3 linked regions of the Tamandua tetradactyla genome follow. The protein of the gene in region 3 interacts with the protein of the main gene of each other region in a pairwise test. Links are inferred from orthologs where the notes say so. Each region holds a gene or a part of one and is shown on either strand. Other genes may lie near its edges.

Region 1 (7,760 bases), on a different chromosome or scaffold from region 3:
AACAACACCTTCTGGACCAGAAAGGGGGAAAAATGTAATAAAATAAGGCATCAGTGGCCAAGAGAGATGAAATAACAGTCAAGAGGCAATTCTGGAGGCTATTCTCATGCAAGCTTCAGTTAGAATAGTGCTAATTGCCATGGTTTGCTAAACCCCAACCACTGACTTCGGTTAATTCTTATAGCTGGAACTGAGACTCTCTAAAGGTTTCATGTACTGGGCTTGCTTTCCTGGAACCTGTAATTCCTGGACGGTTCCTAGGTTAAATAAATCCTGAAACCCAGAGGGACCAGCCTCTCCAAGATTATCAGTTAATTACATATCTCTGTCATTTAGTGTCAACACCCCTTCTCCACATGAAAAAGGCAGAATGGGCACTGACCAAAGACGAAGGAGGAGGTACAACAGAGAGAATAGGATTTAACAAATGAGTATGGCTGCTGAATCACTGTATTAATATTCCTTCTGGCTTCCAGTGTTTTGTAGAAGCTAAAGGAAAAATCTGAGATGGTAGATTGGTAGCCCACGACCAACTCTGGGGTCTGTTCTGTAACTACTTGCTGAAGTGTGCTTTGAAAATTATTATTATTATTTTTTCCCTTCTTTGCTTTGTATATATGTTGTATTTTACAAAAAAAGAAGAAAATGCTAAAAAAAAAAAAAAGAAGGCAGGGAGGGCCTCAGCTCAGCATCCTGGCCTGAGCCTCCTCTATCTCCTGGGACTTGCTCCAGGGCCCATTCTTTCTGCTTCTGCATGGCTTATCTGTCTTCCCCTTATCTCTCTCTCTGGTCCCTCTGGTCCTTTCTACCTTCCCTCCCACCCCAGCTTCCCTCTCTTCTCTTTCTGCTCTCTCCCTCTTCCTCTTTCTTCTTCTATTCTGTTCCCATGCCTCTTTCTTTCTGTCTCGCCTCGTGCCTTGCCACTCATTTTACCTCCTTCTCATTCATGCTGCCCCATCTCTCTCCCTTTCTTGGTGTCTTTGGCTCTGAATGCTCTCTCCCTGTCTCAAGAGCCAGTACTCAGAAGGAGGACTTCGTTCTAAGTCTCACCCATGCTCAGACACCTGGAGACCTGGGAGAGACTCCTTCCCCCTGGCTGGACCCCAACTTCCCAATCTGGGAAATGGGGATGCAGCTTGGCAGTTAGCTAAGGGTTCTTCGGGTTCTGAGGAGGTCACATCTGCCAGTCCCACCGGGCCCAGACTGCCAACTGGCAGCACTCACCAGGAACCAATCCAGCATGAAAGGGCCGTGGGCCCCCAAGACGGTGCAGTCCAGGGTCACGGATTCCCCTCGCATCACCTCCATCAGGGGAGGCACAGAGATGTGCACCTCGGCCTGGGCATCTGCAGGGACAGTGGTCAGGCTGACACTCACTGCTACCAGGGAGAGCCCTCCAGACAGTGTCCCTCCTCCTGCGGCCCCAGCCCCCTCCTCCCTCAGACCCAGGATCCTGGGCCTCAACACCACCTTGTTTTGAGGTGACTCACCTTACCCCCTTCTCTGCTCTGTCAAGGAGACACAGGGGCCCCCAAGAGGCGGGTAGGGGGCTCTGGCGCCAGGCTGGGCAGGTCTGAGCCAGCCTGTCCCTCCCACATTCCTGAGACCTGCCCAGCCCTGTCCCCCCTCACGGCTCCCACACACCCAGCCCGCCTCAGCTCCAGACCTGACGCAGCCCACACCCCGGCCCCCCACTCCTGGGGAGGGAAATGGGGACTGAGAGGGACGGGCTGAGACAGAGGCCCAGAGACTGTGTGTGGGAAACCGACGGGGGTGCCAAAGTAGAGAAGAGGCTGGTACCCAGATGGAGAGACACGCAGAGGTAGAGACCCTATGGAGAGAGACATTTTCCCCACATGGTGGTGCCAAGCCCTGCCCAGGGTGCTGGAGGCAAACGGGTGAGCCAGCCGGGCCCGACCCTCGAGGGACATTTGGTCCAGTGGGAAAGGTGAGGGAAAGCACAATTTTACCCCAGGATACTGGTTAGAAGTGCCAGGCCCCTGTGCAGCCAAGGGGAGGCGCCCTCAGCTCAGCAAGGAAAGGGAGAGACAGCGAGGAACACCAAAGGGTCTGAGGCTCAGGGACACAGAGATGAGAGATGGAAGTGGAGAGAGGGGCTGGGTCTGAGGGAGGAGAGGGCTGCAGCCGGGACTCCTTAGTCCTGGGGGAGTTGGGGAAGTGGCCCTGGATTCCTGGGTCCAAGGATCCTGGCCGAATGAGGTGATCTTGTCAGGAAACCATGCTCTCTCATCCCCTGGGCTGGCATCCTGGCATCAGTTCTCAGTTCTCAAAACCTCTCTTCTCCTTCCCGCCCAGCCTGGCCCAACCCAGCCCCCAGGGACCCACTATTTGCCAGGCTTCTGCTGGGACCTGATTCCCAGGCACCCATCTCTGGCCCCCGCCTGTCCCTGCGGCGGGGGCGGGCGGCCAGGCTCTCTGGTCTCTCCGTGCTTCCATCCCCAGCCCCAGGGGCCTCCTCCGCCCCCCACCCCCACCCCACCACGCAGGTGTGCGGATCTGTCTGGGGCCCCAGGAAAGGGGCACTGTCAGTAGGAAGCTGCCACTGCCCAAACCAGGGCCCCAGCCCTGGCCCTGGGAGAGGCGGCTTAGAGTCCGGACTCTGAATCCAGTTTGGGGAAACCCCCAATGTCTTTGACTTGCTCAAATGTCTCTGAGGGATCACTGGCCCCCTCAAAACTTGAGAGCCTTTGGTAGTGGGGGTAGGGGGGATGGGGAAGAGCCCTGAGTTTGGGTTTTCTGTCACCTGGGGAAGAGGTGGCTGGAGTCCCGGCCTCCTGGGTCTGAGGGAGGAAAGGGCTGGGGGCCCATATTCCAGGGTCTGAGTGGGGAGAGACGCCCCCCAAGTCCTGTCCCGTTTTCAGCCCGAGCCCTACCTGGGCGCGCCCCGAGCAGGAGCGCGAGCAGCAGCAGCAGCCGCGGGGCTCCGCACGCCCCGGCCCGCGCGCCCGGGGGTTCCATGTTCGCGGCGGCGGCGACTGACCAGGGCTGCGGCTCGGCGCGCGGCGGGGCTGGGGAGAGAGGAGGCCCCGCCCCCCGGTGCCCCGCCCCGCCCCGCCCTCCCGGCCCCCCTCGTCCCGCCTCGTCCGGGCGCGGGGCCAGGACCTCCCACTGCCCAGAGCTGGACCTCCCAGCCCCGGCCGCCGCGGGGGGCTGCCTCCACCCCCGAGCCCCGGCTCTCGGCTTAGGCGGAGGTGGGGGGGGAAGGGGGGTCCTGACCGACCAGTCCAGCCAGTGCCCTGGGCTGGGACCTCACCCAGTGATGGCAATCCCCGACCCTCTCCACCCTCAGTCTGACCTGGGGCCTTGGGAACATGTTCCCACTATGGCCAGTGGCCTGGACTGGCCCCATCCATTTGAACCAGCAGATCCTAGTACAACCAGTGGGCTGCCCTGGGCTCTCCAGGTGTGAACAGTGGCCCCCAGACTGACCTACAGCCCATGGCAGCCTCCACAGAACCATCTCATCAGTTAGGCTTTCCCAGCCTAAATTAGACTTTCCCAGTTTGCCCTGTAACTCCCACCATGACCGGTGGCCTGGGATGGCTTTGCCCAGTATGTCCCATGAGGCCCTGTCGTGTGTGATCAAGGCTCTGGGCCTGTCTTCTCTGTGACCAGTGACCTGGAACTGACCAGGTCAACCTGTTATAGCTAATGGTTTTCCAATCCCTGTTCGGCCCAGTCCTCAGTGGAAATGGTGTTGGGGGAGGGCGCCGGAAGGCGGCGGGGTGCTCTTACTCTTGCTGTCCCCTGTGAGGCCCTTCCCCCCACCCCCGCCACCCCCCCTCTAGGGAATCCCAAGAATGCCACCCCCCTTTCTCCCTCTCTCTCTCCCCTTCCTACCTTCTCAGCCTTAGGGGGAGGGGAGGAGAATCAGGCTAGCAGGAGCAGGTGAGTGGGGGAGGGGAGGAGGCAAGGGCACCTGGGGAGGGGGAAAGAGCCTCACCATTGTTCATGGTGTGAATTACTCGATGTGTGTGTGGGGGGGGGGCACAAGTCAGGTCAGCCGGAGGATCACAGGTCAGACTGCCAGAAGCTCCTCACAAGTGGGTTGGACTGGGACAAAATCCCCCAGACTGTTGGCTGCAGGAGGAGGGGGAGTGTGGTGACATTGGTCATCTGGGAGAAACTAGCCTGGGGTGCAGGTCAGAATGGGGACCGCTGGTCATACTGGGAGAGGTTCTTAGGCCTCTGATCAGACTGTGAGTCATTGGAACCTGGGCTTGTCCCCATAAAACACAGAGTAGCCTGGTCAAGGCCACTTCACCTATTGGCCACACAGATGAACAACTGTTATCCTGGGAAAGGTGACCGTTCAGTATTAACTTCCTCCTCCAAGAAGCCCTACTTGATCCCTCTGGGCAACCCCAGACCTTTTGTCTCCCTCATCCCAGTCGTGTCCACTCCGTATCATCACTCCCTAAGGACGGAGCCGGGGGATGTTTTGGTCACGGCTGTGTCCCCAGCACCATCCAGCACAGGGCCAGGCACCTAGAAGGTGCGGGATGGTGGGGGGGGGGGCTCAAACTCAAGAGCACAGGAACTCAAGTGCAAACTCCACCCTGATTGGCTCATCACAAGACACACCACACAAACCACTCCAGGGCAAATTCAGGCGCACTCCCAGGCAGCCCCCTAGCGCTCTCTGACAAGCTCACATGCTCCAACCCCAAACATCCACTCCTAGCTCTGCCGTCCCAGGCTTGTGCATCTGCTCGTGGCTGGACACGGGTCAGCACCTTTTCTTCAGCATCGCCGTCCACCCTCCTCAAGAACCCAAGCAGCTGGGGTTCTAGAAGAGAGAAAGGGATGTGTGGAGGGAAGCCATAAACACCAGCTGCAGCCCCTGGCAGGCTTGCAGAAACGAGCCCCATGACATCATCTGCATTTGCTCCCTACAATTTATGCTCTACCAAACAGCCAAAGGGATCCCGTTAAAATATGAGTCAGATCACATCACTCTTATGCTCAGAAACCTCTTATGGCTCCCATTAGATTAAAAGCTAAAGCTCGCTCCATGTCTTACAAATTCCTTTGAAATTCAGCCTTACTTCATCTCCCACCCTCTCCCCCTTGTTCATTCACCTGATGCTGCACTTTGCAACCGTCCTGTTGCACAGATGTGCTGGGTATGTTCCAGCCTCAGGGCCGTTGCATTTGCTGCTTCCTCTGCTGGGACATTCCTCTCCTTCCCTCACTCACGTGCTTCAGATCCTTGCAGGAATTTTGTTTTCATCACCTGTGCCTAAAACAGTGCTTGGTGTAGGGAGGAGCTGAGTCAATATTTGTGGAATGAATGAATTAATTTGCCAGTTCCATCCTTGCTGTGTCATGTATCTATACACACGTATTTTAATTAGAAAGCCTTATCTTTTCTCTACTTTTATCCCATTATTTTACATACAACGGGTAACAGTTAACTTTCACTTTTTTTTTTAATGGGATTTTTTTTTAATTTTTTATTTTTTATTAACGGAAAGAAAGAAAAAAAAGAAAAAAAGAAATTAACACAACATTTAGAAATCATACTGTTCTACATATGCACTCAGTAATTCTTAACATCATCACATAGATGCATGATCATTGTTTCTTAGTACATTTGCATCGGTTTAGAGGAACTAGCAACACAACAGAAAAAGATATAAAATGTTAATATAGAGAAAAGAAATAAAAGTAGTAATAATAGTAAAAAACAACAACAAAAAAACCCTATAGCTCAGATGCAGCTTCATTCAGTGTTTTAACATGATTACTTTACAATTAGGTATTATTGTGCTGCCCATTTTTGAGTTTTTGTATCTAGTCCTGTTGCACAGTCTGTATCCCTTCCGCTCCAATTACCCATTATCTTACCCTGTTTCTAACTCCTGCTGGACTCTGTTACCAATGACATATTTCAAGTTTATTCTCAAATGTCCGTTCACATCAGTGGGACCATACAGTATTTGTCCTTTAGTTTTTGGCTGGACTCACTCAGCATAATATTCTCTAGGTCCATCCATGTTATTACATGCTTCATAAGTTTATCTTGTCTTACAGCTGCATAATATTCCATCATATGTATATACCACAGTTTATTTAGCCATTCTTCTGTTGATGGACATTTTGGCTGTTTCCATCTCTTTGCAATTGTAAATAACGCTGCTATAAACATTGGTGTGCAAATGTCCGTTTGTGTCTTTGCCCTTAAGTCCTTTGAGTAGATACCTAGCAATGGTATTGCTGGGTCGTATGGCAATTCTATATTCAGCTTTTTGAGGAACCGCCAAACTGCCTTCCACAGTGGTTGCACCATTTGACATTCCCACCAACGGTGGATAAGTGTGCCTCTTTCTCCACATCCTCTCCAGCACTTGTCATTTTCTGTTTTGTTGATAAACTTTCACTTTTTGATACCCACAACCGCATGGAGGAGTCCTGAAGATAGGTCTCACTGATATGAAATGTAAATTCACAGAGACAGAAAGAAGACCATGAGTTATCTGGGGGTGGGGGGTGGGGGAGTTAAAGTTTAATGGGTACAGAATTTCTTGGTTTGGGGTGCTAGAGAGAGTTTCATGGGTGGTGGTGATAGAGGCGCAATGTGCCAACTGCAATTAACCTCACTGAATTATATACTTGAAAGTGGCTCAGATGGCAAATGCCATGCCACATATATGTTTCTACATTAAACATTAGAAAAAAAAAAATTAGTTCCCAGCTTGCAGAATATAGGGATCATGTCACCTTTGGAAGGGGAGTGGATATCATTCCTCAATAATGCCAGATTTGGATGTTTAATGGAACCGTTGGAATTTTTTATTGTTTGGGGACAAGGGTATGAATGCATCTTGGTTGTACAATGACAGTTACTGGTGCAAGGAGAGTTTAGATAAGAACCTTTGGAGGGGGGATACATAAAGAGAAGATGAATGTTGCATACTGACGTTGACATGCAAAGGGGATGGACTATAATGAGTTCCTTCTGGGGCCATTTCCCAGGATTTGCAGCCTCTTCCCACATTCAGAGAAATCTCCACTGAATGAAAGCCTGATGCCCTTTTGTTGAAGCCAAGGACAGATATTTGCTTTCTTGCCTCACTTTGGAGGTAAGGTGATCTAAGCTTGGCAAATCCTGCCATACTTTTGAATCAGGCGCTCATAATGCAAAAGAATCAGGGAGCTTTTCTTTATACCGGGAGGTTATTCTCTGAAGAGGTGATGTCAGAATAAGAGATTTGAATTCATTTCAGCCACGGCAGCTGGGGCAGTTTGCATTTTTCAGGGATGGCTCCACCAATACCTCTCATCCCACAGGCTCCTCAACACTCTTTCTATGGAGAGGTGGGTTCTGTGCCCCTCTCCTCTTCACTCTGCAGCTTTGTGACTTGCGTGGAAACAACAGAAGGTGGCAAAATTGACAGTGCACGACTTCCAGGATCGGGTCAGAAGAGGCCGTGCATGATGTTCCACAGGGACCGAGTCTCTGGGGCGAAGGACAAGTATTGGTAACGGATGGTGGCGATGGTACCTCAACATCATGAATGAGATTGCCACCACCGAGCTGTATACCCGGAAGTGGCTCAGATGGCCAATATTATGCTGCATATATGTTATCGCAATAAAATTTTTTCTAAAAATGCAAAAAGAAGACCATGAAGCTTTTGCCTCTTTCCCTGGAATCCTGTGCTTGAGCACTGCAGCCACCATTTGGGCAGTGTGACCGTCTGAGGCCACCATGTCATAGGGGAAACCCAAACTAG
Region 2 (7,621 bases), on a different chromosome or scaffold from region 3:
AAATAATTAGCTCATTAACTTTCAGCCTACTTTCTATTTCTAATATTAAGATCTAAGGCACTAACGTTTATACTTAACGGTGCTATTTACTATTTTATATGCATCACATAAATTTGGACATATATTCTTTTGGTTATTGTTTGGTTGTAAATATTTTTTTATTTCAATTATGGTTTTTCTTTAACCCATTTACAAGTGTAATTCATAAATTCTAAGTATATGGGTACTGTTTACTATCTCCTTGTTTTCGATTGTTGTTAATTTAATTGCATTGTGGTCATAGAACATATTCTGTAGGATTTCAGTCATTTCAAATTTGTGAGAATTGCTGTCTGGCCAAATACATTATCAATATTTATAACTATTCCATATATGTTTGAAAATATAGGTATTATTCCAAGACTGGAATATATAGAGCTCTATGTAGAGCTGCCAAATTCTGTTTTGGTCAAGACTTCTAAATCATTGATGATGTTTTGTCTGCTTGTCTTTCAATTACTGAAAAAAGCTCTTCTACTTCTTGAATTACGATCAGTTTTTCTTTATTTTAGAATTTTGATTATATATATAAATTTAAAGTGGAAACTTTTAGCATTATGAAGCAATAACTTTTTCTATCTCCAGTAATACTTTTTGACTTGTCTGTTTTGTATAAGATTAATATATTGATATCAGCATTCTTTGGGTATTTGCTTACCCTACCTGGTTCCATCTTTTTATGTTCAATTTTTCAGTTTCTTTATAGTTCAGATGTGTGTCTCTTAATGATTACCATTGGATTTTTTAAAAATCCAGTCTGACATATTTGTTTTTAAATTGGGGCACTTAACCTATTATCATCATTTTATTTGGGATCAAATCTACCATTTTATATTTATACAAATATAAACATATTTATATAAATATATTTATATAAATATATATTATTTATATGTTTGTAAAAATATATATTATATTTATATATATTTGTATAAATCTACCAATTTATATTAATGCCTTATTTTTCTGTCATGGCAAATGCCACACAATGAGTTGGCCTAAAAACAGGAATTTACTGGCTCGCAGTTTCAGAGGCTAGAAGGCCTGCTTGCTCCAAGGACTGGTAGAATCTGGCTGTCTGGCCATTCTTGGGCTCCTTGGCTTTCCCACCATAAGGTAAGGTTTTCTTTTCTTTCTCTTCCAAGTTCTTTTGATTTTTCAGTTTCTGCAACTCAATGTGCCTCTCTTTCCATGAAGTCTCCTGGAAAAGGATTAAAGCCAATCTTACTCACTTGGGCCACAATTTAGCTAAAAATAACATCTTCAAAAGGTTCTATTGATACGAATGAAGCTGATATGGATAGGACTAAGGTATACTAGAAGACTGGGTAAAGGATGATATCATCCATATTTTAAAGCCTCAATTTTGGGTGAGACTAAAGGTTGATTTGTTTATTCTGTACAAAGTTTACTTTTGGTTAGTGCATTTCCTAATTTAACTTTTAAGTCAGTTTAGTTGAACAGCATAAGTACATGGAATTTCAAATAGGGCATGAGATTTTCTTGGTTTGTCCAGGTTAGTTTGATGCCCTGATAAATCCCAGAGAATCAGAGCAGTGAATAAAGGCATATTTGCAAAGTCCCCTTGGGAGACCAGGGATGAGGGAGGAAATATTCAACTTCCCCAGTTGGAGTATTTCTAATACTTTTGCAAGCAGTGGGGACAACCAAAGCAATAGGCCAAGCCCTCGAGCTTGGGTTCCTCTCCCATGAAACTTATTCCTGTAAAGGACAGGGTAAGTCTACTTAAAATTATGCCTAGGAGTCACCCCAAGAGAACCTTTTTGTTGCTCAGATGTGGCCTCTCTCGCTAAGCCAACTCAGCACATGAACTCACTGCCCTCCCTTCTAATTGGGACATGATTCCCAAGGGTGTAAATTTCCCTGGCAACCTGGGACAGAACTCCCGGATTAAGCCAGGACAGGCATGAAGAGTCTGAGAAAGCCTTCTTGACCAAAAGGAGGAAGAGAGAAATGAAGCAATGTAAAGTTTCAGAGGCCGAGAGATTTCAGAGTCCTGAGGTTATGCTGGAGGTTATTCTTATGGATATCCCTTTTTAGTTTATGGTGTATTGGCGTGGCTAGAGGGAAGTACTTGAAACTGTTGAGCTGTTTTCCAGTAGCCTAGAATCTTGAAGACGATTATATAAAGCTATAACGTTTACAATGTGACTGTATGATTGTGCTAACTTTGTGTCTGATGCTCCTTATATTCAGGATATGGACAGATGAGTGAAATATACGATTAAAAATAAATAAACAAATAACAGAGGAAAAGGGGTAAAATATTACGTAGATGGAAACACTAGTAGTAAGTGGGAGGGTGGGGTAAGGTGTTTGGTATGTGTGAGTTATTTTTTTTTTTCTTTTTCTGTAGTGACGCACATGTTCTAAAAAGTGATCATGGTGATGAATACAAAACTATGTGACGATATTGTGAGCCACTGATTGTGCACCATGCACAGAAAGAATGTGTGAAGGTTTTTCTCAATAAAAACATTTTAAAAAAAGAGTCAATAAAAAAAGTTCTGTTTCCAATGTGTGATCACCCACAGGAAAGGATTAAGAACATGTTTTTTTCCTGTGGTACATAAGTCAACCTACCACAACTACTATCCTATGTTTCTTTTTTCCTTTGCTTTGGATTAACTGGAGTATTTCTTTTTTTTTTAATAACTCTATACTTTTTTGTACTGTTTTCTATTTTTAGTGGTCACCCTCAAAATCACATGTATGATTTTGTCAATATCCAATGTTAATCAATACTTAACATACAACACACATGTATAACAGTGTGCACATGTTGAAGCATAGGAAAACATCGTTAAAAGGATACAGAACAAACGCACGGGGTCACTTGGGGACAGCGGTTGAATTGAAGGAGTGGGGACATTAACTCTGCTTATCACCGTGGTACATGTACATATTAAATGATGCTCAAGTATCTTTCATATTATTGCTGTTTCAGGATATAAGTGTTTCAGGATATATAACTTGTTGACATTGGCAGTCTTAAATTTAGGAACAGGGTAGGTGCAGGTAGAGATTTGCGATGAGTAGAGCAATTAGGAACAGCTATAATGAGAAATGCAATGCTCCTGGAGCTGCAGAACAACTCAGGAGGCTGATGTGCACCGGGCCAGACCCGAGAGATGGGTCGGGAGAGCGAAAGGTGGCTTCCCGGGAAGCGACGGGTCCCTGGCTCCGGAGCTGGGGCGCAAATACGCCGGCCACAGGGCGCGGCGCTCCTTCGCAGGTCCACGCGGCGCGCCCAGGCCGCTCCTCTTCCGCCGGGCCCGCCAGCACGCGAGCCGAACCAGAGCAGGGCTCGGCGGACGCAGCGCCCCCGAGGCTCCGACCGCTGCCCTAAGGCCTCTGCCCCGTGCGAGCGCAAAGGCGCGTCCCGCGGTGAGAAGAAGCCAGAAAATCGGGATTGACAGGCGGCTTCACGGGGGAGGAGAGCAAGACCGAGGCGGGGCCGCCCGGGCCGCGGGGACCGGGGCAGGACGGCGGAGCTGGGGGTCACCGGCCGCCCGGGGCAGGACGGCGGAGCTGGGGGTCACCGGCCGCCCGGGGCAGGACGGCGGAGCTGGGGGTCACCGGCAGCCCGGGGCAGGACGGCGGAGCTGGGGGTCACCGGCCGCCCGGGGCAGGACGGCGGAGCTGGGGGTCACCGGCCGCCCGGGGCAGGACGGCGGAGCTGGGGGTCACCGGCCGCCCGGGGCAGGACGGCGGAGCTGGGGGTCACCGGCCGCCCGGGGCAGGACGGCGGAGCTGGGGGTCACCGGCCGCCCGGGGCAGGACGGCCGAGCTGAGGGTCACCGGCCGCCCGCGGCAGGACGGCGGAGCTGGGGGTCACCGGCCGCCCGGGGCAGGACGGCGGAGCTGGGGGTCACCGGCCGCCCGGGGCAGGACGGCGGAGCTGGGGGTCACCGGCCGCCCGGGGCAGGACGGCGGAGCTGGGGGTCACCGGCCGCCCGGGGCAGGACGGCGGAGCTGGGGGTCACCGGCCGCACGGGGCAGGACGGCCGAGCTGAGGGTCACCGGCCGCCCGCGGCAGGACGGCGGAGCTGAGGGTCACCGGCCGCCCGGGGCAGGACGGCGGAGCTGGGGGTCACCGGCCGCACGGGGCAGGACGGCGGAGCTGAGGGTCACCGGCCGCCCGGGGCAGGACGGCGGAGTTGAGGGTCACCGGCCTCCCGGGGCAGGACGGCGGAGCTGGGGGTCACCGGCCGCACGGGGCTGCCCGCAGGCACAACGCCGGCACCGCGGCGCGGGAGCTCGTCTCAGGCCGCCCCTCTTCGGGCTCTTCTGTGGAGCCGCGGACCCCCGCGGACGCCACAGCTCCTTCCCGGCCCGGCGCGAGCAGCTGGAGAGGCCGCCCAAAGTTCGGCCTCGCGCTCAGCGTCGGCCACGCCCCCTCCCGCCCCGCGCCCCGACACTGCGGCTCGGCGCGCCAGGACGTGATGCGGAAGAAAAAGACAAGGTCTCGGTTTCCCGGGACATTTCAGAGCCGCGCACCAGCCCCTCCTTTTCCGGTGGGCCGCACGCCTTTTCCGGTGGGCCGCACGTGTCTTTGGACCGGAGCTTCTCCCGGAGAAGTACCCGCTGTAGTCGCTGCGGCCGCCCCCGCTGGAGCGCGGAGGCCCACCAGGACGCGGGGACGTCACCATGGTGGGTGCCCTTTCTGCCCCCTCGAGCCCGCCCGGCTCCCGGGAAGGCCTCTGTCGGGCAGGTAGGGATGGAGGGCGCGGTTCCGGGAAGCTGGCGTCGGCTGGCTCGGAAGAGGCCCCGCGTGGGTGAGGGGAGATGCGAATGCCTTTGGGGGCCTGGCGGCGGCTTCGGCCGGGCCGGGCCGGGCGTCCCGGAGGTGAGGCCAGGCCCTCGGGCCGCACCGCAAAGCTCCGCGACGGAACCGTGACGTGCTGGCTCCGTGCTGAGCCTCCTAGGCCGCCTCCTGACTCTCCTCCCTCGGGGGACCCCGCGCTCGGCCTGCTCGTACCCACCGCGGTCGCTCTGCGATGTTGGGGGAGGCTGGAGAGCGAGCCCTTCACCGCGGCGCGTGCAGGCCGGGCGCCGCCTCCTCGCCCCCGCCACCCCCCGGCCTCACTGGGTCCGGCCGCCGAGCTCCCGTCCCCGCCGTGCTCTGAAACGGGTCTGGTTTTATTAAAAACTGAGTAGACGCAACCGAGATTTAGAAAACATATTTAAGTTGTAAGAGGAGCTATTGTAGGAGCTTTCGTCATGATCGTTTTAAAGAAGTAGAACATAACGTAGCTTTTGAGAACGTTTGCGTGTCCCTCCTTGATTTTGTGACCTTCGGTAGCCCCTGAGAGGTGCACAGCATCAGAATCTTGGGTTTACAATTCTCTGGGTTTTCCTTGTAGGTCTACCACAAATTTGTATCCTAAAACAGTACATCGATTTTTTGCTTTTTTTCACTTGTTCCTTAGAATTGCACTTCTTGTATAGGAACATGTTTTGCAAGTATCCAGTTTTCTTATCAATTTTCGGTCAGCACAACAAGAAAATAAAAACAAGGTTTAAAGTTTGGTGGAAAGTTGTATTTTGACCATGTTTTTTATACTTTTTCTCTTTCTTTTCTTCCCTTTTCATTGCATGCCGGTCATTGTCTTTTGTATTTATCTACGGTCTGCTTTTTTTGCTTTAAGATTATACACACTTTTGTAAAGTCAGTGTGTTTGTTTTATCACCATGCTTGTGTGATTTACACCCCTTTAAAATACAGTTTTCTCTCTCAACCTTTTCATTTTCAGAGTAGAACGTTGGAATAGTTACATGGGATTGTCTGTGGGGGGTCAGTTGGCATTTAGCTGTAGTCCTAGATTATCAGAACTTCACTTTTTTTCAGGCTGCTTGTTAGTAATACAGTGCTTTAGCATAAGACTGAAAAGAATGGTTTAAAAACCTCTTCTTATTGGCACATTTCTTGCCCTGTCGTTATTCCGGTATAGCATCACCAGTGCTTCTTCCACATCTTCCCTCTGATTTGGCGCTGGCGGTTTTTATTTTGTCTCAGCTACTCTAAACTTACTACAGTATGGCTCAGAATGTGAGCTGTGGAGTCCCAGAGGACTGTTTGGCACCTGTGTTTGCTAAACTGTGATTTTGGAGAAATTACTTCACCTAATTCTCAGTTGCCCCATCTGTTAAATTGAGATAAGGATAGTACCTGCTTCTTAGAATTGTTGTGGAAGTTAAATGTGAAGTGTCTAGTCCCTTGTCTGGCACTTAGTGTTACTTGTTGTTCTGAACCTTAGTAATAGTAGTAAGTAGTAACAGGGCACAGCTTGTACTTGTTTGCTTTTGTTACTTTGTTCATTTATTTTCTCTTTAAATCTTTCCTGGAATTTCGCAAGTTCATATATATATATATTTATCTTAATATCACAACTATGTGAAATCTTTTAAAATCTTTTTAAAATAATCCATCCCACTGACCGTTTCTTTATTTTGCGTTTAACATTTTTTTTGTAGTGCTTTTAAGTTGGTGTGTACTCATGGCTGTACACCTTTTTACTTAAGCCTCTTGTTGTAGAGTCTAAGTGTTGTGCTTTTTTTCTCCTTAGCTGGATTATAAACCATTAGAAAGCGGGCTGGCATCCTCCTTAGACCTATCCTTCCACATCACTGAGCATTATCTGCATCGGACTGCCTACATATTCTTTAATGTCAGGGATTGTGTTCTCTTGGGCTCACATCTATAAATGTGAACTAAAACAACGAATGAGTTTAAAGAGATTACATATTAGTAAAAATTTGCACTTGAAAGGTGTAAGGCCTGGTCTCGTAGCCTTTGGCTGGAAGGCCCCCACCCGAACTAAAACCGTGAACATCTGGGCATACAGCTGTTCAAACTCAGCCAATTAGGACCTGCCCTGACAGAGACCCCCCCTACACACGGCCCGTGACTATACCCACTGCACATGGCCTGTGGCTATACCCACTGCACACGCCCCCTGGCCATGGGCCATAGCTATGCCCACTGCACACGGCTGTAGTTATGCCCCCCTGCCAAGGCCCATAGCTATGCCCATGGCCCTAAAGCGAGTGAAACTCCTAACCTACCACAGGAGGCCCCGTAGGCATTGTCAGCACCCCCCTAGCTAGCCTATATCTAACCCTGCCGCTCCTGGGCGGGGTCGCGACTTCCCCGGCCCGCACCCTGAGTACCCAGACCCGGGACCTCGCCCTGGGACAATAAAATTTTAAACTCGGACTCAGTTTCTCTGATTTTTCAGTTGGCTACCATCTAAAACCTGACAAAAAGTAGTAAATACAAGGAAAAACATTAATGAAACTACCTAGTGTACCAACCTTTTTAAGAGTAATGTTAATATGTGCAGGGTCTTTTAAAAAATTGAGTAAAAGATAATATTCCTGAAGAGTATATTAGTTTCCTGCTGTTGCCACAGATTTAATTCCTTAAAGTAATATATATTTATTATCTTAACATTTCTGAATGTCAAATGTCTGAAATTGGGCCTTGCTAAAATAAAATCAGGGTGTTGACAGATTTGTGTTCATTAAGAGGATTTAGTGGGGTATGTTTTCTATGTCT
Region 3 (7,657 bases):
CTAGAATTTAATAATATTTTCATCTCCTACTCAGAGGATGGTGCGTGAAATTAATGCCAGATGGGGGAAACTTAAAACGGGAAGATTCGGTGGGATTAAAGTAAAGAACTGCTTTCACAGTGACATAGTATTATCTTTCTTAATGAAAAAGACACCTTTTGACATCAGTTTTTTTTATCAAAAACAATTGTGATGAAACTAATGCAGAAGGCATTAGACTGCATTCTAAGAGGAAGAATAGGGAATAGGGCCTGAAGGTATCATTTTGTTAAAGTAATGGCGATGTGAAGCTACCTCATGTCGAAAATCCATGTATATTAAAGTGTAGTTCTGTAGCCAATATGTTAACTGATGGAAACATAAATTCTAAGTTGAATTAGGAAGAGAGAGCATGAGGCAGACGTGCAGATGGCAGGGTCAGGAGTGAGAAGTGTATTGAGGCTAACAGGGGAAAGGAAACAGAACGTAAAAAATGAGAATGGTTAACACAGACGAACTCCACATTCTTCTTAGGGTCGTGCTAATAGCAGCCGCGCATGGACAAAGGTGGTGACGGGCAGAGGTGGCCTGTGCAGAGCCAGAGGCGGGACAGCGATCTGATATTGCTTCATGCAATTGATCAAGAATTTTTACTCGCTCTTACTTCCCTGCAGCACTGCTGACTGTATAGAAAGATGTTTAGTCTCAGATAATTCTATAATGAGATTATTACATCACCAGACTACATAAATAGGTACAATCTAAATATATACAAATAAAAATAGATAAGTAAATTTCCTTTTTAAAAATAATACAGAGCTACTGCTTACTTGCTATACATTAATGCAAAACCTATTTTTGGATAGTTTCTGTACCAATGACAGAAGATTTCCAATTAAACTTTGCAGCAAGAAGATTGCTTTTATTTCTCCAGGAAACTCTGGTAGAGGAAAATGGGCAAATGTGCTGTGTTGGAAGTAAGGTTTGTATCTTAAAGACTATAAATGAAGCAAGCATGTGTAAACAGGGCAGACTTCTTCAGTGCAAGATTTCTGGTTGATCTGGAGCATAAGACTGCTATCACCCCACTCGACACACAAACCTGGTGACAAACCCATCTGATAAACAGAAGAATATCACAAGAACATTTTGAAGCTTCACAATATATTACATACATTAAGCTGCTTCCAAATCAAAAGGAGCAAAAAGCCAAATTCAAAGATAGAAGACCAACTCAAGTGATACATTTTGGGCAAATAGTGTAGAAAACAAGACATCTTAGCAGGTCTCCACCTTGCTTGCTCCATGTTTTTGATTGAGCGATGCTTTTCGTGCTTCCTTCTTTCCCCTGAGAGGAATTACAGAAATAGGATCTTACAGTTTTACATCATTTTTGGATTTTTTTACAGAAGCACTCCTTGGCTGCCAGATGCCTGTCACGTGAAGCGTGTGTGCCTAAGTGCCTCACGTGACCGACGGATGTCATCAGTCTACTGTAACATTTGATTTCCACTCAATCCGAGTAATTTTTTCCACCACTGTTGACATGGACTTGCCCTCTGTGTGGTTTCTTCTTCTCTGCAAGTGCTATATTCTCATCACTTGTGTTTGACTTCGATTATGGTCACTGATACGTCTAAGAGGTTGAAACATACTTCTGGGTCAATGGCATGAGAAATGGATGGACTGTGGAAAACCCCATCCCTGTGTGGGGGTGGAGGATTCCTCAAAAGAGCCACCAAGTGGGGGTGGGCTTCTGAGCTGAGGGGCCGGCCCCTGTGCTTTCCAGGCGGGGGCCCTGTGTATTTTCTTGGATTCTTTGTGTCCCCTATTTGAGAAGATGGCGAAACTGGCATAGAAAGTAAGTATTTAGTAAAGAAAATTTAGAAGGCTTTCCCCCACCGTAATGATGGATTTGTATTCATCCTGTCAAGCATTTTTTGTTTTTCTCTTGGGCCTAGTGAGACAGGCTGGGTGAGGCCACTTCTGGCTGAGCAGGAGCTCTGGGAAATGAACCACATGAAGACGAAATGGGGACTTTGGCCTCCTCTAGTGCTGCTGACCTTAAGTAAGCCTTCCTCTGTCCGACAGCCAAGTGCCATCACTGTCTTTTCAGAAAACAACAAAGACGCAGTGTGGATTAATGAATTTTTCAAACAGCTTTAAGATGGATAAGATTGATTGACTCTGGGTCTAATCTAGCTTTCAGCCTGTGTGGCGTGTTCACGTGTCTCGTCTGTGGAGAATGAAGTTCAGGGTTAGGGTTAGGGTCAGAGCCAGGGTCAGGGTCAGGATCAGGGTCAGGATCAGGGTCAGGTTTGGGGTTAGGGTTAGGGTCAGGAGCACACACTGGCTTTTAATCTACTTGGTGCCATTTGACTAGGATGCTAGAATTTGTGGACTGAACTCTATCAAGGTTGGACTGGAAGTGGTTAAAAAAGCAAAATAAAAAAACTCTCCTCCAACCCACTTGCAAAGCCTGCACATAGTTTTTTGTGTGTATATAGGACCCATTAAAAAGAGAGTATTTGGGAGACACTGAGCAAGCAACATGAGCAGTACTTTTTAAGAAGCAGAGATTGACAGACAAGGCTAATCTAGAGGAGAATGTACAGGGAGCAGTTGTTTGGAGTTGTGGGTATACTAGAGATAGACATGTCTTCCTTTTTAGTAATTACTTGCATATACCACATTATTTTGGATGGGAGGATTCAACAGCAATAGACGAAGTGGTTTCTTTCCTGAAACGGCTGATCATACATCCTGTCCATGCAGCTGGTGAGAAGAAGGAAATCAGGACAAGGCTTTGCGCACCTAAGTTACTGTGCACCTCCTGACGAGTGTCCTGAGGCAGGGGTCACAGGTGGCCATGCAAATGTACAGGAAAAGGAACAGCAACAGACACTTACAGGTGCTGCTGCTACATCTCACTGGCTGCTTTAGTTAGGAGGCCTCTGGGGCGGGCCTCAGGGGCCCCCTCCTGCCTGTCTCCTGCTGGCTCTGGACCTCTTGCTGAAGCAGACTGCTGGGCGCCCTGAGGGCATTGCTGTGACTGAGTGAGAGGAGAGGCAACTGGACAGCTGTGAGCAACTTGATCTGATCATTAAAAGGGTAGCCTTTCTGATATTGGCTTTTAAATACTCCAGAAAAAAGGAGGGGGATAGAGATAAAACAAGACTGACAAAATGTTATATTTTTGTCTGAGTTATGGGTGCATGGGGTGGCTATCAGAGCATCTTTATATAAAGTTATTGTAAGAATTAAATTGGAGACTCCAGATAAAGTGCTATGGGTGTGAACAAAGACATTCCTACTACTAGAGAAATGACTCAACCTGTAGGCCTTACTCATTGCGGGTCAATAACACTGGATACAGAGAGCTCATGCTGGGGCACCCCGAAGGCACTGCCGAGGCCTGCAGCATTCCCTGGCTCTCAAGCTGCTTCTCCTGTCCTCCGCCTACCTCACTCGCTGCTCCTTCTCTGGATCCTCTGCTCAATCCTCCTCCTCATGCTTTCTAAGTGTTGGCACGCCCATGGCTCAGTTCTTGGTCCCTTCTTTTCCCGAGCTGCATCATCAGTTGACTTCACTAGTTTTGTATGCTGTACCCTGCAGATCCATAACTTTCTGAAATGTATGTTAATTGCCAACGCCTTACCTTCACATGGATATTAAATAGACATCTCAAAATTATCGAGTCTAATTCAGAGGGCCCACGACGACCCCTTTCCCCAATTTGTTTCTTCTCAATCTCTCCAATCTCAGCAAATGTGGCAACTGCATTCTTCCAAGGGTGCAGACCCAAACCCCTGGAATCAGCTTTGACTCCTCTTCCTTACACCCTTATCGGAGCCATCAGCCATTCTTGTGGGCGGTGTACACAAAACCTCGCCTAGGAGGGGCTCAGTTCGCTCATCCAGCGATGGACAGCCGAGGGCAAGGCCCGGCTTCTTGCCGGGGCCCGGGACATTCCTTTCTGCCTCAGTTCCACCGTTTGTTGTGCCCACCCTTCCCTGCTCCCTGGCATAGCTCGCGTCAAAAAGGGGTGATGTGAGCACCTGTGAAGAGGGGTAGTGGGGACCCCTGAACCATCACTGGGCGGGGCTGCACCTTCCTTGCACAGAGACACCCTCTTATCTCCCACCACGCCACCCCGCAGAGGCCCCTGCATCGCGACCCGCCTGGCTCCCGACTTGCGCTTGCGGAGTCCGGAAGCAGTCGGGAGAGACCTGGGCGCCGGGGAGGGCCCTGGGAGCCGGGGAGGGCCTTGAGCGCGGGGGAGGGCCTTGGGCGGGGTGGGCCCTGGCGCGGGGGAGGGCCTTGGGCGGGGTGGGCCCTGGCGCGGGGGAGGGCCTTGGGCGGGGAGGGCCCTGGGCGCGGGGGAGGGCCTTGGGCCGCCGAGGCCGCCTCCCGCCCCGTCACCGCGGCGGCGGAGGCGGGGGCTGAACCCGGAAGTGGCCGAGCCCGCGCGCGCCCCGCCGCCGCCCCGCACTCGGGAGCCGCGCGCTCGGGAGCCGCGCACTGGGCAGCCGCGGAAGCCGAGCACTCGGGTGTCGGGAGTGGCGCGGAGGGACGGAACGCACTACCCAGGCCCTGGCCGCGGAGGCCACCGCGCGTGGGGGCGCGCGCTGAGCGACGTGGCGCCCTTCGCGGGGCGCATGGCGCGCGACTCGGCGGGCAGGCGGTGCCGGCGTCCGCGGCTGGAATGGTGCTGGCGGCGGCCGGTGCCCGCGATCTGAAGCCCGGGAGAAGCCACGATGGAGGCGCCGCCGCTGCCCCCCGCGTGAGTGGGCTGCCGCCTCGGGTGGCCGCGGGGGCGCGGGCCGGGGTGGCGCGGGCGGAAACTAGCCTACCAGGCGGAGACTTGGAGACGCTGCCCAGACTCCCAGGGAAGGGTCTGCCCACTCCGGACGCAGAGGCTCGGCGGGGCCGTGCGCGGGGACCTCCCGCAAGTGCCCGCGCTGCTGAGATGCGGCCGGCCGACCCTTCCGAGGGCTGGAGAGGCGACGCCCGGCAGGCCACTGAGAAAGGAAAATGGGAGCTACCGGGAGGGCGTCTCAATCAGTTGACCTTAGGTTTCTTGCTTCCCTAAATTTCTAACAGAATTAATAAGTGAGGAGCTTTTGCATCACTCTGAATGAGCCGCTGCTGTCTGGGCATGTGACCTCTTTTACCTGGCACTGCAGAACGTTTTGTCCGGAAATCTGAGGGCATCTTCTGTTTCCCTGGTACTGGGCACATCAGGAGCGTAGCGGCCAGTCGGCACAGGTGTCTCTTTTCTTGGTACCAAAATGCATTCCAGATTATCTGCAACAAAATTACTTTCCAGAAATAATAATAGCTGAAAATGTACGTGGAAGGTATTACATGTTCAGTACAAGATTTTTAAAAAATTGGTGAAAGTAGAGTGTCCTGAGAGTTTTGAAAATTTCGATTTCGATTTGCTTTTCTGAGTTTAACCTTTAGGAAGAAACAAGGGATCTTTGAATCTGACTTTTCATTTCCTTCTGGAGAACTGTGTACCTCTTGAGAGCTTATTCTCCTGGCCTTATCATTTTTCGTTTAAATGTGGCCCCTCTCCCTCCAGGGCAGTTCTCCTGCAGTAGCTGCTTGTGCTGATTCGGCAAAATTCCAGCCAAAATATAGATATTTAGTTTGGGCTGAATAGTTTTTTGATATTGAGTCCATTTAGGAATGTCGAGAGGATTCTGGAAGTACAGTTTCTAGAAACATCTTTCAGAATGTTTAATTTGAGTGGACCAGGTCATGTGGGGTCAGAGGAGCAGAGGGGGACCCTTGAACTGACCCCTGTGCCCTGCCAAGCAGGGGCTCGGTGGCTGTGACCACTGTAGCTTTGAGAGCAGTGCTGTGGGCCGTCCTGGAGGCTCCTTGGCCCAGGGAGATGGGTACTGAGAGGTCAAGGGCGCGCGGGCCAGGCTCAGCGGCACCTGGGACTGCAGACGTGTAGGGGTGCTACCTGGAGGGAATCTGCCCCTTCCGCCAGTCCTCTGTGGACCCTTTTCACTTTGGGAGCAGAGGGAACTAAAGGAAGGCACAAGGTGGTCTTGGAAGGCAGATGAAAGGATATGGAAGGAGGGAGTAGAGACACAAATGTGATTTAAATCGAGGTACTTTCACTTGAAGCGTGCATGTACAGCTCCTGATAACTGCATGGAGGGTGGGTCATAATTGTGCGGAACAACGAGAGGCTGACATCTGGGGAAGCCTGGGGTGCCAGCAGGGACGAGACAGCTGTTAGAACTCCTTCCAATCATGGGTGGCTCAGGTTGCCAAGACTTTCCTTGTTGTTTCTGTCCATTTAATTATAATCATAGATGAGGTTTGTTTTCATTTTTCTCTCCAGGGTTCACTCTTAATTCCAGAGCTCATTATGCCGTTACTTGCCTTTCTGCAGGTCAGGCATTGTTTTGTTTTCCTTCTCACCCCACGGCGGGTCTGTTTCCCGGCCCGTTGACTTGTTTCTCCTTTTGTGCTGGAGTGTGGTTGCCCATTTGAGAAATTCATCCGGGTCTTTGGAGAGAGGCTCCAAGAGTCTCCCTGTGGAGCTGGGCACCTTAGATTTACCCTGAGCCTTAAGACCAAGCAAGATGCTGCAGGTGGACTGAGAGCAGCCTGAACGGTGTGGCCAGAGCAGGGGGCCTCCTCTCGGACCAGCGTCTGTCTGCTGTTCCCCCTTCTGCCCGTGGCGAATGTCCGTGTTGCCGGGTGCTGCGCGCTGCCTTGTACCCGGCTCCTCCCCTAGCGTGTCCAGCCGTTCTCAGGCTCACTTTGTCCCTTGGCCCGCTGTCACACACCTCGGGGGTCACCGTCCTCACCCTTTCGGGGCGGACTCTGGGAAATCAGGTATTCTTCACTGTGCTCCCTCCACCCTGCTGCCCATCCCCGCTCCATGCTTGCCTGGCTGTGCCCGGGCTCTGGGCTCGGCGTGTGCTTTCACCCTGGAGGACAGGCGGTGCCTCGTCCCGTGGTCTCTGCCTGTGGCCGCACCTGAAAGGTGGCAGGCTGAGGACCGGCCCGAGGAGCGGAGACTCGGGCAGTGAAGGGAGCCCCGTGGGGGGAGTGCGGCTGCCCAGCCGGCCCCGGGCCCTTCGCCCTGGCGGTGACTGAACGTGGGGCCCAGTGGGTGCGTCCAGGGAGCACGGCGTCCACCGCCTCACGCGCAGGCTTCTGGGCCCCGCTGCCTCAGTGGCTCCTTTTTCACAAGTAGGTGTAATCTCCACAGTCTCTGCTTTTGCTTTTTCTTCACGAAATTAAGCGAACATACCTCAGACACAACTATACGTGTATATATATGTGTGTATTCCAGTTGGTGATTCCACGTCACCGGGGAGGCCACTGGCGCCATCTGGACACAGGCAGGCAAATCCTGTTCTCCGTGTTCTAAGGGTTTGAGTGTTGGAAGATGGTTAGGTCGGAGGTCCCTGGATTTTGGATTACACTGATCTGTGAAGTTAAGAACAGAAAACTGGAGCAGAATAAGGCTCTTTGAAGGGCATAGAACGAAAATTTCTTTCAGATGCTCCTCTATAGGATTGTGTCAAGTCCCAAATGTATTGACTGTTTGGGGCGACCTCAGAGAACTGAAAACAGAGCCCTCTTCCTGATACAGTAACAGAGCCCCTGGCCTGGGGGCGGTCAGTACTATGAGGAAAGGTGC

What was found.
Region 1: the proteins of KLHL2 (region 3) and BCAM interact in binary tests that used the Homo sapiens proteins (3 or more experiments, as listed by UniProt). The two-hybrid records come from large-scale screens. The link is inferred for Tamandua tetradactyla from reciprocal best matches to the Homo sapiens genes KLHL2 and BCAM.
Region 2: the proteins of KLHL2 (region 3) and TMA16 interact in binary tests that used the Homo sapiens proteins (3 or more experiments, as listed by UniProt). The two-hybrid records come from large-scale screens. The link is inferred for Tamandua tetradactyla from reciprocal best matches to the Homo sapiens genes KLHL2 and TMA16.

Annotation. Positions count from the first base shown.
Region 1 is NC_135342.1:18,236,369-18,244,128, forward strand, and holds the start of BCAM (basal cell adhesion molecule), read right to left. Parts: upstream 3,011-7,760; 5' UTR 2,980-3,010; coding exon 2,895-2,979; intron 1,347-2,894; coding exon 1,225-1,346; intron 1-1,224. UniProt on the Homo sapiens protein: Transmembrane glycoprotein that functions as both a receptor and an adhesion molecule playing a crucial role in cell adhesion, motility, migration and invasion.
Region 2 is NC_135348.1:2,050,906-2,058,526, reverse strand, and holds the start of TMA16 (translation machinery-associated protein 16), read left to right. Parts: upstream 1-4,611; 5' UTR 4,612-4,710; coding exon of another isoform or gene 4,711-4,713; intron 4,714-7,621. UniProt on the Homo sapiens protein: Involved in the biogenesis of the 60S ribosomal subunit in the nucleus.
Region 3 is NC_135352.1:47,417,199-47,424,855, reverse strand, and holds the start of KLHL2 (kelch-like protein 2), read left to right. Parts: upstream 1-4,638; 5' UTR 4,639-4,736; coding exon 4,737-4,762; intron 4,763-7,657. UniProt on the Homo sapiens protein: Substrate-specific adapter of a BCR (BTB-CUL3-RBX1) E3 ubiquitin ligase complex that mediates the ubiquitination of target proteins, such as NPTXR, WNK1, WNK3 and WNK4, leading most often to their proteasomal degradation.